3 linked regions of the Arabidopsis thaliana genome follow. The protein of the gene in region 1 interacts with the protein of each later gene in a biochemical or structural test. Each region holds a gene or a part of one and is shown on either strand. Other genes may lie near its edges.

The links.
Region 2: the proteins of AT1G14390 (region 1) and AT1G62950 form a complex in vitro, tested with the Arabidopsis thaliana proteins (one large-scale study listed by BioGRID).
Region 3: the proteins of AT1G14390 (region 1) and RHS16 form a complex in vitro, tested with the Arabidopsis thaliana proteins (one large-scale study listed by BioGRID).

Annotation. Positions count from the first base shown.
Region 1 is NC_003070.9:4,921,907-4,925,664, forward strand, and holds the start of AT1G14390 (Leucine-rich repeat protein kinase family protein), read left to right. Parts: upstream 1-2,130; 5' UTR 2,131-2,370; coding exon 2,371-3,616; intron 3,617-3,692; coding exon 3,693-3,758.
Region 2 is NC_003070.9:23,312,851-23,316,608, reverse strand, and holds the start of AT1G62950 (leucine-rich repeat transmembrane protein kinase family protein), read right to left. Parts: upstream 1,739-3,758; 5' UTR 1,316-1,738; coding exon 147-1,315; intron 52-146; coding exon 1-51.
Region 3 is NC_003075.7:14,383,561-14,387,318, forward strand, and holds the start of RHS16 (root hair specific 16), read left to right. Parts: upstream 1-1,910; 5' UTR 1,911-2,070; coding exon 2,071-2,149; intron 2,150-2,429; coding exon 2,430-3,464; intron 3,465-3,564; coding exon 3,565-3,700; intron 3,701-3,758. Other genes in the region: ATMND1 (Mnd1 family protein), read left to right, coding at 1-72, 257-373, 483-521, 621-728, 810-872, 954-1,005, 1,147-1,191, 1,288-1,367 and 1 more.

The sequences.
Region 1 (3,758 bases):
TCTAATCTAGTATTCCTAATCAATTATTTAAATCGTAACCACTAACCAGCTCATGATAGGAATGTATTGTATTCTAACTAGATATTTTTTGACGTTTCATAAACGAATGTGAAAGAAACATGATTAAATTATCACTATAATAAAGTTTAGATTTGATTCTGTTCGAAGTTGAATCCTGGTTTTAAGAAATGAATATCTTAAAATGTTTGAATTTTTTTTGTGGATAACTTTACATTAGCAAATTTTATGTCACAACTAAACTACAGTGTAAACTTTATGATATTTTTTTTTTTCTGAATTTATTCAACTATATGCTATATAATTTGGGTAATTTATTTTGAACATGCCTAATTTATATGGACCTAAAGATGCATATTTTGGGCCTTAAATTAGTTGGATACATATATGGGTTTAAATTCTAACCTTTAATAAGCCTATAAGCCCAAAAAATAACAGTTTGTAAGTTATCTGACAAAGGATTTTAATAATAAAGCTGCATATAAAATTGAAAAGAAATGCATGTTGTATAATATTAATTGATACTTTGGCAGTGTCGCTTATTACAAAGGCAGTTGCATGTGATGTGCTTGCAAACTCGCATTTTATCTTCCCTTACCTTTTTGTTTTTAGAAAATAGTATATTTTTTCATCATGATTACTTGGAAACTTGGAAGCTGTGACAAAATATTGGTTTTGAGTGCTTCTGATAAAACCTTGTATTTTGAACTTGAAAACTTTTGTTTTCAGCCATTTTTTTAACTTACTACGATGACGGTCACTTGTTTTGGGATGAAACTTTTTACTACTTGGTGTTGGTGATGCATGGTTTCTATAATTCCTCTTATACAACAAAACTTTTTTGGTTTTTGTCAAAAATTGTATATAACCAACCTTCTTTTTATTAGGATCGCACGTCAGGCCACTTAAAAAGAAGTAAAGAACAATGAGAGATCGATGTAAAAAGAATAAAGGAACAAAAGAGAAAGTAATGGACAGTTCATCACAATTCACACACCAAAAAGAAAACAGCTGAACATTTGTTAGAATCTCAACACTTTCCAAACACACGAAAACAAAATGACACTCATTTCTCACCGACAATAGTGATGAAAATATATCATGGCCGAACTAATTGGTAGTATTATTAGTTTGAGATTGGTATTTTTTGTAACAGTTTGATATTGAATTGTTGATTGATGACCACGAGAAAAAAGAAGTACGATTTATATCATTTGTTGGTTTACTGTATATAGATGATCATTTGGTGTCCTTCTGGTTTCGAGAAAAACAACAAGTGGTTAAAAGTGTAGTTCGAGAAAAAGATTTGGTTAGGACATGTAATTCTTTATTTGAGCTTTTAATCCAACGAACGGGGTTAGATTTTCCTTGCGACGGTGGCTTTGGATGATCCTTAACGGCACGATCTGATCATTACATATTTACATTGACGAAAGAGCACGTGTAAAAAAACTCGTTCACTGGTCTGGTTGACTTTTATTACATACTGTCTGGTCGCTATATATCTATCAAATCTCTATGCATTAACAATTAATGCAACGTTGCTCATTAATTAAGTATGTATTTTTTGTTATTTTACAAGTAGTATTGATATTACAGGAGTTAAAATGTTATAAAAGAAACTACAAACATTTATTCGTAAGTTTATTCATTTATATTTTTTAAAAAATTGGTAAAGATGAAAGAATTTACCTTGGGGAAGAGATCAACGGATTTCGAGAGAAGTACTACTACACAACATTTATTCGTCAAACATGTATGTATTTGTATGTTTATGCATGTATTATGTATCAAATAAATGCATGTTATATGAGTAATAAAGAAAGGTCTTCTGACCATAACAGAGAAATTAATTAAGAACCAGTTGAAGTAAATAAATAACTCTAAATTGTGGAAATTTTAGATCAAAAGTAGATAAATAGTCAGATATTTCATGTGGATTTTACGTATTTTAAGGATCTAATTCATTTTATGCTTTTAAAAAATTTCATTCACTTTCTTCGAAGCAGTAAAACAGTCTGTCAATGTGAAACTTATGAACAATCAACATAAGAAACAAAAATTAAACAAAATTTGTATTTATTGTCTTCTTCTCAGCAGAACTTCTCTCCACTTAATTTTGTTTCTTGCTCTGTCCCAAAAACATTGTTTCATTTTTTTATCTCCCAATTTCCCTAGAAAATCTGCTTCCGATCTAAAAAAATCTCTAGAATTTATGTACAAAACACCATTTTTTTAGACTACTAAACAAATACTAACACTAATCTCGGCTACAATAACAGAAAGACCTTCTGTTCCTTAAGCCACAATAACATCTTTCTTTCTAATTTCTCTGTAATTCTTCCTGAGAGAATGCATAGTTCCTCTAAAAGCCAGGCCTTTTCTCTCACTTTTCTTCTCTTTCTTTTTCTTCTGCCATCAGTCTCAGAATCACAGCTAATATCAAGTGAATCAAGAACTCTATTAGAAATCCAAAAGCATTTACAATATCCACCAACTCTTCGATCATGGAGCAACTGGACCAATTTCTGCTACCTCCCTTCTTCTCCTTCTTTCAAAATCCTCTGTTTCAATGGTCATGTAACTGAATTAACCGTCACGGGGAACAGAACCGTTAAGCTCCCCGGAAGATTCTCAAGCGACTCACTATTCACTGTTCTTACAAAACTCTCAAACTTAAAGACATTGTCTCTGGTCTCTCTTGGCATCTCTGGTCCTCTCCCTTCACAGATCATCAGGTTATCTTCATCTCTTCAATCTCTGAATCTCAGTTCTAATTTCATCTCTGGGAATATTCCTAAAGAGATCTCGTCGTTGAAGAATCTGAGAAGTCTTGTTCTAGCGAACAATTTGTTTAACGGAAGTGTTCCTGATCTCAGAGGATTGTCGAATCTTCAAGAGCTGAATTTAGGCGGTAATAAACTCGGTCCTGAAGTTGTTCCTTCACTTGCAAGTAACTTGATTACTATTTCATTGAAGAACAACTCTTTTGGATCAAAGATTCCAGAACAGATCAAGAAGCTGAATAAGCTTCAGAGCTTAGATCTTTCCTCCAACAAGTTCACTGGCTCAATCCCAAGATTCCTGCTTTCGCTTCCTTCGCTTCAGAATCTAAGTTTAGCACAAAACTTGCTGAGTGGATCACTTCCAAATTCATCGTTGTGCAACTCCAAGCTTAGAATTTTAGATGTTTCTCGGAATCTTCTGACTGGGAAGCTTCCATCTTGCTTCTCTTCCAAGAAACAGACAGTACTGCTCTTCACATTCAATTGCTTGTCTATAAATGGTTCTCCTTCTGCAAAGTATCAGCGTCCAGTTACCTTCTGTGAAAACGAAGCAAAGCAAGCAGTAGCTGCTGTGAAGTCTGACACTAAAGATAAAGAAAGGAAAGAAGAAGATACAGGAATCGAACTTGGATTGGTGATTGGCATTATCATCGGTGTGATCCTCGTTTCAGCGGTTTTAGCTGGCTTGGTTTTGGTTAGGATGAGAAAATCAAGATCAAAAGAAGAGCCTTTGGAAGCAAACAACGTCGATCAGGTCACTGTTTGCAGCAACACCACCAGGTCCACCACATCAAAGACAGTACCAGATCTAAGTAGGCTATTACTTTGAAATCTTGAATCAAGTTTTCACACCCATTAACCTAACTAGCTTGATTTTTTCAAATGCAGGACGTGTACCGCAAACCATGAGATCCGCGGTGATTGGACTATCACCATACCGAGTTTTCTCTTTGG
Region 2 (3,758 bases), about 18 Mb from region 1:
TTCAATAGATTCTTAGGGATCTCTCCTTCCAAACCATTTCCAGAAACATCTCTACAACAAACAACAAAGATTAACAAAACTAAAAAGTTAGATAAACGAATCAAAAACTCACTAAATATCAGCATAGAAGAGATACAAAGACTCACAGTTCAAGAAGTAGTCTGCAGTTTGATAAATCCTCTGGTATTTCACCAACGAGATTGAGATTATGCAAATTCAAAACCTGTAGATACTCAAGATTTCCGAGCTCAAGTGGTAGCTTCCCATCTATAAAGTTATCGCCTAACCTGATCACAGAGAGCTTCTCCATCTTCCCCATACCTACAGGTACACTCCCATTGAGCCTATTCGATTCCAAGTCCAAAAGCTTAAGACTTTTGCATCCGGTTATACCGCTAGGTACATTACCAGTTAACTCATTCGAAGAAGCATCCAAAAACTCCAAACTTTCACTACAATCAACAATCTCACCAATCTCCCCTCTAAACCGGTTTCCAGACACATTAAAATAAGTCAGGTTCTTGAATCCAATAACCTCGAAAGACGCTACTCCATCGAAAGAATTGCTTCCTATATCGACATGACTCAATCTCTTACACTTCGATATCTCCTCAAACACATCACCAGACAACAAATTTCTTCTAACAGATACAAACTCAAGAACCGGAATATCGCAGATCCGAGGCAACAAACCGGTAATGCCATTGTAAGAGAAATCGAAACCAATGAGATTGTTACAGTTTACGATTGATTCAGGGATTGATCCTGAGAGATTGTTATGAGACAATGAAACAAACTTTGTCTTGTAACAGAATTTAAACAGAGAATTTGGAATCTCTCCAAAGAACGCATTTTTCGACAAATCCAAGAACCTTAAATTAGGCAAATCACCGATAAATTCAGGAACCAAACCAGACAATGCATTGGAACTAACATTGATCTTCCATAAAGTCTGTAACTTTAAGTAATCCAAAGGTAAATTACCTGTAATCCTGTTGCCAAACAGAGTCAAAACCCTTAAAGAAGTTAAACCAGACAATGCCGGCGTTAGGGTTCCGGCGAGACTAGTGTTCCAAAGAACGATCTTTTCGACGAATCCTTCTTGGTTACAAGATACACCATTGAAGCTGTTACAGAGGTCAGCATTAGAGACCCAAGAAGCTAAACTGTTGTACGGATCATCGTTGATGTTGTCTTTGAATTGAAGTAGAATCTCTCGTTCGGTAATAATAGAATCCGAGAAACTTCGAGATGATGTAATAATAATGTGAACGAATATGAACATTATTACCCAAATCAATTTCCCAATCTGCATTTGCGGTTATCGGATCCTAAACCGAACTCAAACCCGGTTAAGCTATTTCGTTAACAATTTCTTGATAAACGAAGAAGAAGAAGAACAAAAGCATGAAGAAGTAGCTGCATTTGCCTCGAGAAGAGAGTTTCAAGAAACATAGAATAAGATCTGGGTATTACCAGTCATAAGTTTCCGAACCAAACCCATTAATTTCTGGACACAAATCTATATAGAGAGAGATTTGAGAAAAGATGAGTGCGTGGAGAGTGTGCCTTGGCTGGAAAGTAAGTAAAGCAGGTGAAGCAATTTAATAGTCTGTCTCTTCTGCAGCAAAAGGTTTGGTTTTGTTTCCTCTCTCTCTCTGTCTCTCTATATACATCTGTGGCTTCCACCATGTGAACAAGAACCACGTGCAAGCTTATGTGTGTGTAAGTAAGTGTGTGTAATTTAAGAGTGGGAGAAGAAGGTGTCTGTTTGTCTTGTACCATCAAGCATTTATTCTTTGTTGCCTACACCAATCAAACCCTTCCATCAATGTATTTCAGAAACTATAAATAAGATAAAATAAATTTTTATGTATAATTTGATCATGTTTGTGATTCTACAGTTTTTAAGTTATTTATGAATGATACGAAATGTAGATTTTTTTAATCAAAAATTCTAAAAATATTATCTAATTATAGAATTAGTTTTCAAATTAATGATATTTCGCAAAACAAGTCTAACATTGTGAATTTGATTAAGTGATATCAATATTATTGTATATAGCTTTTGATTGCATAGAAATGTTGTATATACAATAGTTCATAGAGAGTCTATACAAATTGGTATTGTATAAACCAGTCTTAGATTTTCCGTTTAGTGGCTTCTGGTTTAGACCTTTATCAATTGTATATAAAACCTTAATTGTATTATTTATTATTTAATGAGAATAAGATTATTTTACCGAAAAATCTTATAAAAAACCTTCAAAGTAGCAACAACTTACACTTTAAAAACTTTCAAGATTTTGAACTCTCACAATAAACCATCAAAATAAAAAAATTGTTACTTTAAACCTTCAAAGTGGTTTTCGTATTCCCACAAAAATGGTTTTCGAATTCGTAATCCCACAAAAATTAATGGATAAATTAAATTTCTCACCCTTTATTTTCCGGTTTTGTAGACTTCTTCCATACAAAAGTTTAAAATCTATAAGGAAAAGCTTTTTCTGTTCTTTGTTTTGCTAGAAATTGGCGGAACTAATTATTTGAACATCCCAAAATGAACTCAACTAATATAAAAACATACACCAAAAGACAAACTTAAATATAGTGAACATCACTTAATTAAAGTGATACCTGACACGGAAGGAGTATGTAATACTAGTAAATGTTTAAAGATTTATCAAATAATCCCTTTAGGTCGGAAACCTAGAACAGTGCAGTAAATTCAAAATTACTCATATTAAAAAAAAAAACTATGCTTGAACAACAACAAAACTTCATTCCAAAGTTTCTTGTCAAAAAAGAGTTCAATTCCCAATTATGCCTTTTGTCGGATTTTTCTTTATAAATCTTTAGTTTTGTCCAAGCAACTGAGTACTATTTATAATCACTGTCGATTTCTTAGTGTAAATTCCTAGATACATCAATATTGCACTGTGAGTCTTTGAATCACTGAATCATAAATCCATAAAAGACTTAAAATGTTCTCTAATCTTCAGTATTTAATACCCCGTTGTCTTTTATTTGTATGAATTTATAATATGACCGTTGATTAAGTACGGTACTGTTTATATTTGTATATTTCGAAACATCAAAGTCTGACTACTGTTCCTAAGATTCTCTAGATTCTTCAAGTCTGACATAAAACAGAAGTACTAGGTGTTTGACCAATGCCCACAATTACAAAAAATGTTACTTCGATATAATCTGAATCTTGGAAAAAAATAAATATCTAAAGCATGCATACAAATATACAATTGAAATTTCATACATTTTCCCTGGTCTAGTGAGTATTGAAGTACTGAAGTAGTTATACATTGGAGAAAGTGAGAAAGTTGAATAAAAGAAAAGTAAAGTGAAAGACGATAAATTCTCCATCCTTGAGCTATTTCAAGTTTCAACTAGACAACTATTATCTTGGTTATATAATAAGGAACTATGAAGATTAAAAATTGAGAATTAGATTAGTACGATATCTTTGGTGATAGAGTTTATGTCCTATATTTTAGGAGTTTGTGTTTATATCTTGTTGAGTTCATTGTGAATAAATACTCATAGTTTGCGAATTAATGAAAGTAAGTCAGTTCAATATCTAATTCTACAGTATAACTTTTTACAGCATGAGAAAGCAGCGTGTTTTTGCGGTTTAAAATTGTTGTTCCGTGAGTTATATCAATGTTTTGATTAAAATCTTTCGAGGAGATAGTTTAATCTTTTTAGTTGTTGCGCGGTGCAGAATTGAACTGTAGAATTTC
Region 3 (3,758 bases), on another chromosome or scaffold:
CGGGGACTTTCGCTGGAGGAGAAACGAGAGAAGATGCTTCAGATATTCTATGAGTCTCAAGACTTCTTCCTAGTGAGCACTTTCTTTAGTTTTTACAACTTGCTAATTTTTGGACGCCTTTGAACTAGCTTTATCTACCAAGTGATCTGATATCTAGAGTCGTGAAGTGCATATACTGCCTAAATTTGTTGCTATTGAACTTTTGGGTTTGTGATACAAGCACTTATGGGTCTCTACTTTTGTAAAAAAATTTCAGCTAAAGGAACTTGAGAAGATGGGGCCGAAGAAGGGTGTAATTAGTCAGTCTGTGAAAGATGTTATCCAGAGTTTAGTCGATGATGATCTTGTTGCGAAAGACAAGATTGGAATTTCTGTGAGTAGCTTAGTGTTCCTATGTTGGATCTTTTTATTTCATTTGTTGCCATATAGTCCTTGTCTCTGTTATATGTTGTTTGACGGTGTTCATTATTTTGCAAATGAAGATCTACTTTTGGAGCCTTCCCAGCTGTGCTGGCAATCAAGTGAGTCACCGTTCTGTATCCTGAGATGACATCAAAAAGATTCATATTAATTTGAGCATAGCGAAATTCATTGTTTCTGATCTCATTTTGAATGAACAGCTTAGGAGTGTTCGCCAGAAACTTGAATCTGATCTTCAGGGTAGTAACAAAAGGTTAGCAGAACTTGTTGATCAGTGTGAGGCCCTAAAGAAGGGAAGGGAAGAATCGGTAAGTATTTTCAGTATTGTAGAATTAATGCTCGAATAAGCTTACGTGTGCTTTTCACCAGAATTGCTGTTCTTGCTGCAGGAGGAACGAACAGAGGCCTTGACGCAACTCAAAGATATTGAAAAGAAACACAAAGATCTGAAGGTCAGATTATACAGACTATCTGTTTGCATAGAGCTATTCACATGCTTAACAAGTTGCTAACAGTTTCTTCTTCTTAAACAGAACGAGATGGTACAATTTGCTGACAACGATCCAGCTACTTTGGAGGCAAAGAGTTAAGTTCTGCATAATACGTTACTTTTGTTTTGTGTTAGATCTCCTATATGGTTTTCCCGGTCTTCGTGGAGCAGAAATAAGAATCAATCTTGTGCTTTACTAGCTGTATCAATGTGTATATTCCTTCTAATTTTGACAGGGAATGCAATTGAAGTTGCTCACCAGTCGGCTAACAGATGGACAGGTATTTCATTTCTAAAACTTGGGAATGTGTTTTCAGTTTTAATACTTACGTAATTTTCACTGCAGCCTAGATTATAATTCTTTCAAACTTACTCAGATAACATCTTCACACTGCGACAATGGTGTTCAAACAACTTCCCCCAGGCCAAGGAACAGCTAGAACATCTATACACGGAGGTATCTTCCAGATCTTTTCACTTCAAAAGGCTATAAATTCCACATTTCACATTCTCATACATGAAGGAGAGACTAAATCAGCTGGGTAACTTTCAGGCGGGAATCACTGAGGACTTTGATTACATAGAGTTATCATCATTCCCTTTGAGCTCATCCCATGAAGCTGATACCGCAAAGCAGCTAGTACAAGATGAAGCTTAGTTCTAATACTCTCCAGCATAACAGTTAAAGAAACAATAGCTTAAGTAAAAAATCTTTTCACTATCCTTTTAAGTTTTCTGGTTTTAAAGGTTGCAACAGTCTGTAATTCTCTATGTGACCCAATCATCTAATGTCAAAACTCGGTTACAAATTCTGTGGTCAGAAAAGATTTTTATTTTCTTTGTATCTGTCGGCTATGTCCAAGCTTGGCTATGTTTTGTTATAATATTTTATTGGAGTTATATATATATCATGCGTTAGTTGTTGACCCACTGGTTACTTCTTGATAGCTGTATTACCATTTTATATTCTTTCTTGGCCGCTTTTTTCAGTCGTGAGCAGCACTTATGTTATACACCTCCAGGTCAATTTTGTTGCTACCAGAAGAGGAAATGGGCATAGACTTTGTACTTTCTAGTCTTTTGTGTTTTTGTGTTATCTTAAACGCAGGTTGTCTGTTTTTCTGACGATGATGAGCTGAGCTTTACAAAATAAGAAGAACATGGGAGCTCACTCTGTTTTTCTCATCCTTTTTTCCGTCATTGCCATTGCCATTGTAGTACATGGCCAAGGCCAAGCAGGTTCGTGAGTCTCATTCTCGCTTATTTTCCTCTGTTAGAGTCTGTTTTGATTTGAAAATGAGCAATCTTCAGACCAAAGATTTTTGAAGTTTTGATATATGTGGTTGCATTTTGGCCAAAACCGTGTTCTGATTATTGGTTTGACATGATAAGTGAGGTCCAAGTCTGTTTCTATGATTGAATGCTTTAGGTTCTAAAATTTAAACCTGCATTGGAATTTTGATGAAAATTTTCTCAACGTTGTAGAATTAATCAAAACCCTTACCTTCTTCTGGTCCAGGTTTCATCAGCATAGATTGTGGGTCACCCCCTAATATTAACTATGTAGACACTGATACTGGTATCAGTTACACCTGGGATGCACCTTTCATCAACGCTGGAGTAAATCTGAACGTCTCTGAAGAATACGGTTACCCGAAAAACCCGGTTTTGCCTTTCCCGCTTGCTGATGTAAGATCTTTTCCTCAAGGAAACAGGAACTGTTACACCTTAACCCCCTCCGATGGAAAAGGGAATCTTTATCTCATCAGAGCTTCGTTTATGTATGGAAACTACGATGGTAAAAATGCTTTACCTGAGTTTGATCTCTACGTAAACGTGAATTTCTGGACCTCGGTGAAACTCAGAAATGCTTCTGAGAACGTCATCAAGGAGATCCTCAGCTTTGCAGAGTCAGATACAATATATGTTTGCCTTGTGAACAAAGGTAAAGGAACTCCTTTTATTTCAGCGTTGGAGCTTCGACCAATGAACAGCTCCATCTATGGAACTGAGTTTGGAAGAAATGTCTCATTGGTACTCTATCAAAGATGGGATACAGGATATTTGAATGGAACAGGACGGTACCAAAAGGATACATATGATCGTATTTGGTCTCCGTACTCTCCAGTGTCTTGGAATACAACTATGACTACTGGGTATATCGATATTTTTCAGTCTGGTTATAGGCCACCAGATGAAGTTATTAAGACAGCTGCTTCGCCTAAAAGTGACGATGAACCATTGGAACTGTCTTGGACATCAAGCGATCCAGATACTCGGTTTTATGCGTACCTTTATTTTGCAGAACTTGAAAATCTCAAGAGGAATGAGAGCAGAGAAATCAAGATATTCTGGAATGGGTCGCCTGTTTCAGGAGCTTTTAACCCCTCTCCTGAGTATTCAATGACAGTGTCTAACTCACGAGCTTTCACTGGTAAAGATCACTGGATTTCTGTTCAGAAGACCGCAGAGTCAACGCGTCCACCAATACTCAATGCTATTGAGATTTTTTCAGCACAATCTCTGGATGAATTTTACACCAGAATTGACGATGGTGTGTTCATCTCTACTTTGTTAGTCGTCTACGTATATTTTGTTCTGGTCTTTAATTTTCACTGACACTCACAGTTTTCCATTTTCTATTGGTAATGCAGTTCAAGCCATAGAAAGCATAAAATCAACGTATAAAGTGAATAAGATTTGGACTGGTGATCCTTGCTCTCCCAGACTCTTCCCTTGGGAAGGTATTGGATGCAGCTACAACACTTCTAGTTATCAAATCAAGTCCCTGTAAGTCATTCATTCATTTCAACCTGAAAAAACTCATTGTGTAATTTCCCTCAAACTT